Kluyveromyces lactis: one gene and its partner. The protein of the gene in region 1 interacts with the protein of each later gene in a pairwise test. Links are inferred from orthologs where the notes say so. Each region holds a gene or a part of one and is shown in the gene's direction. Other genes may lie near its edges.

Evidence for each region.
Region 2: the proteins of APE1 (region 1) and MXR2 interact in a two-hybrid assay, tested with the Saccharomyces cerevisiae proteins (2 studies listed by BioGRID). The link is inferred for Kluyveromyces lactis from reciprocal best matches to the Saccharomyces cerevisiae genes APE1 and MXR2.

The regions. Positions count from the first base shown.
Region 1 is NC_006042.1:1,256,218-1,259,741, forward strand, and holds APE1 (metalloaminopeptidase APE1), read left to right. Parts: upstream 1-1,464; coding exon 1,465-3,024; downstream 3,025-3,524. Other genes in the region: protein kinase HSL1, read right to left, coding at 1-492. UniProt on the Saccharomyces cerevisiae protein: Resident vacuolar enzyme that catalyzes the removal of amino acids from the N-terminus of peptides and proteins. Also acts as the major cargo protein of the cytoplasm-to-vacuole targeting (Cvt) pathway.
Region 2 is NC_006039.1:103,855-106,221, reverse strand, and holds MXR2 (peptide-methionine (R)-S-oxide reductase), read left to right. Parts: upstream 1-1,267; coding exon 1,268-1,867; downstream 1,868-2,367. Other genes in the region: STE50 (Ste50p), read right to left, coding at 1-410; EMI1 (Emi1p), read right to left, coding at 805-1,065; LSB5 (Lsb5p), read right to left, coding at 1,997-2,367. UniProt on the Saccharomyces cerevisiae protein: Methionine-R-sulfoxide reductase which catalyzes the reduction of methionine sulfoxide (MetSO) to methionine in proteins. Plays a protective role against oxidative stress by restoring activity to proteins that have been inactivated by methionine oxidation.

The DNA.
Region 1 (3,524 bases):
ATAGTCGAACAATTCACCACCTTCAACATATTCCAATACCAAATATAACTCAGATTTGTTTTCCCATACCTCGTAGAGACCCATCACATTGGGGTGCGAGATAAGCTTCATAATGATAATCTCACGTTCGATCCCATATGGCAGCTGTTTGATCTGGTTCGACTTAACGAATTTTTTGGGAACTATCTTAATCGCTGACAGTTTCCCCGTTTCCATATTCTTTGCTAGACGAACTCGACCCGATGACCCTTTCCCCAAAGTCTTACCCAATTTCCAGGGACCTACCGTATCGCGGTTTCTCCTCTTCGAAGTCTTGGTATTATTAACATTAGCATTCGACGATGCAGTCGAAATCTGTGAAAGACGCTTAGTAGCGTCTGTTACTGACTGAACAACCCTATTCAAATGTTCATTATTTGCACGATATGGGACCTGGCCGTGACTAGAATTATCCTTCATTGCCACAACGGCAGCTTGAACAGCACACGACATCTAGCACAAACAAAGCAAGCGAGTGAAATTGAGAAAGCAAAAGAGCAGAAGAGAGCGTGTGTGAGTGTTTAAGTATGATAAGCGAATGTAATGATTGGAAAATAAACACACTCTGTGATCAAATCAATGATTCTTCTTCTTCTTATTATTATTAGTATTCTTCTTCTTCCTTATAATTCAAATGGTAGACCTAGCCTTGTAATTTGCAGTTCCAGCAGAGCGACAAATCAGCGTTACTGATGATGTTAACGTTGCTTGGTGTCTTCTCTCTTGGATGTTGTTTGGTTTCAAATTCTGATTCAAACATTGTTATGTGTGCATATATTTCATGAAAGGGCTTTATTTGGTAAATAGTTGAAGTCATTCTGCACGACTAGTAAATACTAGCAAGACGCGAGTTTGAGCTTTGTTCGCGAAGACGAAGACGCGAAAACGCGAAAATTGGCAGAAGCAGTAAAGTCGAGAACATGGCAAGTTCAACTTGCTGTGATAGATTTGAACCAGGGCTTTCGGCGCTGGTTCAATAATTGTGTTGGTTGCTGCCAGTGTGCTGGCACGGGCACGGGCATCAGCACTTTTGGTTTATCTGAATGAAATATAGGCACAACCACGTGACCTTTGAATTTACACGGCCGAAAACAACTAGATATTGTCACGTGACCTTTATCAATTCTGTTGCCTATACGAACTATGACTTAAACTTATCCATGATATCTTATAGCAACCATCTCGCACCACTCTCCCCTGAGAATAGTAACTAATTGATCTTCAACAACGCTTAATAACGTTACTATCCCTCGATATTCACACTCCGCTCCCAATTCAAGTCATATTTCGCTCGCTGTACAGGACTCTGAATTACTTTTAACGTCTATCGATCACAGTTTCTTCTTCTCCCCTATATTAAAGATAAAGACACTGATAACATAACAGCGCTCAAAGAGACAAACACCATCCGAAAAGTGCAACCCAATGACAGAACACATCGAAATAAGCAAAGAAACTATCAACGCTCTAAGCGACGTCTTGAAACAACTAGCCGTCATTGAACCTAGGTCAAGAGACGTTAACAACCAAAATGACAAGGTTACCAAGAAGTCGACTAGTAAGCAAAGCCAATTCTCGAACAAAGCGACGTTCAGAGAGTACTCGCAAGAGTACATAGATTTCACATATGAAAACCCTACCATTTACCACGTCGTCAAGTATTTTGCCAAGAAATTGGAAGAGAATGGCTTCGGTTATCTCAGTGAAAAGAGTTCTTGGTCCAACGTTGAACCGGGCCATTACTATACGACCAGAAATGGTACAAACCTCTGTGCCTTTGCGGTGGGACCCGAATGGAAACCTGAGTTAGGTGTTGGTATCATTGGTGCCCATATTGACGCCTTAACTGCGAAGTTGAAACCTTCTTCTAAGAAACCTGATGTGGAAGGATTCGAATTGTTAGGTGTAGCTCCATACGGTGGTACTTTAAATGAACTGTGGTTAGACAGAGACCTTGGGATCGGTGGTCGTGTCCTAATTAAGGACCCTGATACTGGTAAGATCAGTTCGCATTTGTGCAACTCGGCTCCACACCCTATCGCTAGGATTCCATCTTTGGCACCACATTTCGGTGCACCAAGTGTTGGTCCATTCGATAAGGAGGACCAAACTGTGCCCGTGATTGGCTACGTCGGTAATGGAGACTACGATGATGATGATGAGGACCACGACGTCGAGGATGAAAAGAAGAGCCCGTTGTACGGCAAACATAGTATCCATTTATTGAGATACATTGCCAAGTTACTATCCGTTAAAGTGTCTGCCATTACGCAATTTGACTTGGACTTATTCGATGTGCAAAAGGGTACTTTCGGCGGTCTTAAAGACGAATTCATCTTTGTTCCTCGTATTGACGACAGAATCTGCTCGTTCAGTGCCATCAATGGGTTGATAGAGCACAAGAAGACTGGCCATAAAAAGGATGGATTTAACGTCGCAGTGCTTTATGACGACGAAGAAGTTGGATCGTTGACAAGACAAGGTGCTAAAGGTGGATTGTTAGAATCAGTGGTCGAAAGAATCGTTGCTAGCAGGGGAAACGACGTCTCTGAGACGCGTACGGCATTCGCCAACTCTATCATCATCTCTGCAGACGTCACACACATGTTAAACCCAAACTTCAACTCAGTATATTTAGAGAACCATAAACCAAAGCCAAACGTTGGGATCACCCTTGCATTGGATTCCAACGCTCATATGGCTACAGACGTTGTTGGGACCGCATTGGTGGAAGAATTGGGTAGATTGAACGGGGACAAGATCCAATACTTCCAAATCAAGAACAATTCCAGATCTGGAGGCACCATTGGTCCTTCTTTAGCATCCCAAACAGGTGCTAGAACCATTGATATGGGTATTGCTCAATGGTCAATGCATAGCATTAGAGCTACAACTGGTAGTAAAGATATCGGCTTGGCAGTTAAATTCTTTAACGGATTCTACAACGACTGGAACCAAGTCTACCAATCCTTTGGTGATTTGTGATTAAAATCATAACTCACCTCCATTTCTATAAACCCCTACTACGGTTACTAATCTTACTGAAATATGATCGTCCTAATGAATTGGGCCCACATGTCTGAATTTGAACTATGAATCTTATACGCAAAGACATGCAATTCATACCTCATCATAGTACTACATAACAAAACTATACCAGTTACACCAGATACAGGATGGCCCTACGAATTACAACCTCCATCAGGACAACTCAAACCTCTGGTCCTTTGGTCTTCTCTGTTTCAAGCCTTTATGGATCACACTGTATTTACATTTCTAAAACTGGTAATTATAGTAACAAAAAAATTTTTGTGTTATATAAATAAAGAACACATATGGTATAAATATAAACTGGACTTATTCACTCAGGGTTTTATGCCAAGCGTTCGAAAGGAAAGAAGCTAACAAAGGATCCAGTAACTCTAAAGTGTTCCAGCGGTAGCATTAGAAAAGACGCTGAGGCAAGATAGTTTAGGAACGCGATA
Region 2 (2,367 bases), on another chromosome or scaffold:
GGTTGATGTTGAAGTTGTTGAGAAGACTGAGAGGAACCTGAACCAGATCCACTGTTCCTCTTCACGATTTCCAACAAATCCAATCTGAGTTGCGCATAATTAGATTGGAATTCTTGTAACTTTTCATTTAACGTCTGGTGTAAGCCTTTCATAGTCAACACTAATTCTTGTTCCGGTGCTTGTTCTTCCGTGTCAACAAATTTGTTTATGCATGTCTTAAGCCTCACGGCACTAATGCTATCAGGACATAACTCCTTGCAATCGGCAAGTGTGATTTCAGATAACGTAGATCCAGTTATCTTGTTCTCTCGTATTCTATCTAGGATGAATGTATCTCCGTCCGTTAATCCAAGTTCTGCTTTGACTTTCTTGCAAACCTCCTCAGTTGACCATTCATTTGTACCGCTCATTATTTGTTTTTGTTTCTATGCCTGTTCTTAAGAGATGTAAAAACACAATTGAATCACTGGTTAGCCACTGATCAATATGCTTCTGTTGGCTCAATGATATGCTCCACAGACTGAGCTGTTCCCCGGATCTCCTTTCATCAACTTTCTGGTATCACTTGGTTTTATTCAAATAATCGATTAAGTTTAAATATAGATTTTCCCATATTGTCGGAAATCATAAAGAAATGACAAGGAACCCTGCGAATATTCTGACATAAGATTCCTGGGGAACGGGGTAATCCTGTTACTACATTCGCGCTAGAAGTATTTCGATGCAATCGTAACTTTGATTCATTTATTTACAGGACATACGTGTGGAAAATATACAACTATCTATCATTCCAACGGCCATGGTTTATACTCTTTCTTTCCAAATGTCATCGGAGGTACCTTTCCTTTCTTGGTTCTTCTGCCACTGCTCTTTGTGCCATTCCTGTACCTTCACGGGATCTTTACTATGGATCACACAAAACTTAAATTTCTCGAATTCTTTCAGACATTCGTTCATGTGGCCATGTCTGTAGTAATTTCTAAACTGACCTCCTAAACTGAAACATCCTGTTAACTGATCAAATGCATCAGTGCAAGACATTGTTGTTGGATAATTAGATGACATAGTGTTGAATATCGTTTACAGTCTATGATATTTTCTATTTGGTAAGTAGCTGTGGTAATGGTCAAAACTGGGCGGACTGGTTTGCTGCTTCCGTAATCAACCTCCTTCTTTCGTTTTGTAGATTGCTCTTTATTGACAAAGATGTTTAAGCTGTAAATTATAGAATTTTGGATTTTTTCAACTAGCTTTCTGCAAGAAGCCGATGAGCCATGCTATCGTAAAGAGAAAACAACTGGAAACTCGCATTTGTAATCACCATCGGATCTATTGTTCAGCTTTCATTATTTTGTTGATAGGTATAATTCTTAAAGTTTTACCACTCCATAATTGTTTCACACTTTTGATGCTCTCAAGAAGTTGTTCAAGGATTTTATCTTTAAACTTATCAAAGCAATTTTACAGAACAATGAATAGCACCGGTAAATGGAATCCGAGTTTGACTTCAGAACAGCTAAGAGTACTACGTGATAAGGGTACGGAGAGACCAAACACAGGAAATTACTTGCACAACAAACAAACAGGGATTTACTCATGTGCAAATTGCGATTTGCCTATTTATAAGAGTGAGACGAAGTTCGACTCAGGCTGCGGATGGCCTGCGTTTTATGATGCTATACCGGGATCTTTAACTTTTACTCGCGATGAATCGTTTGGGATGGTTCGTATAGAAATATGCTGCAGTAGATGCGGTGGTCATATGGGGCATGTGTTCGAAGGGGAGGGATGGCAGAAAATCTTGAATTTGCCAACTGACCAAAGACATTGTGTCAACAGTTGCAGTTTGAACTTCAAGGAAGGTTAGTGCTCACCAGATTAGGCAAATAGTTGTAGGTTTGCAATTATTTAGCTCACTTAGTTATATTAGGTGTACAATATTACACAATTAAAACAGATGGCTCTACGGTTTTTTACGCTCCGCCAGGAGATCGCATCAATTCTTAATTTTATTGTTATCGCTAAATGGATCATTGGGCTGAGCGGCTCCACCTCTAGATGTGTACGAAGGTATTGATGCCTCATCAGAAATGTAAGCTTCGTTGTCCTCTTGATCATCTTCATCACTGTCACGTTCATTCAAAGAAGCCATGTCTCCTTCTTCGGCTAATTGGTCAAATGCCATCAATGCATTGACCAACTCCTCGTTAGCATGGAGTAAAGCACCTAAAAGTTCACCACCGGTAATCAGTTGCAAATAACGTAGAACCTTCCTTCTCAATGCTCTTGCTTGAACGAATTTGGCCGTACACAGCTCACTGTCGGTGGACTTACTATGAGCTGGAATTGCCAACAAAGCATTCGATA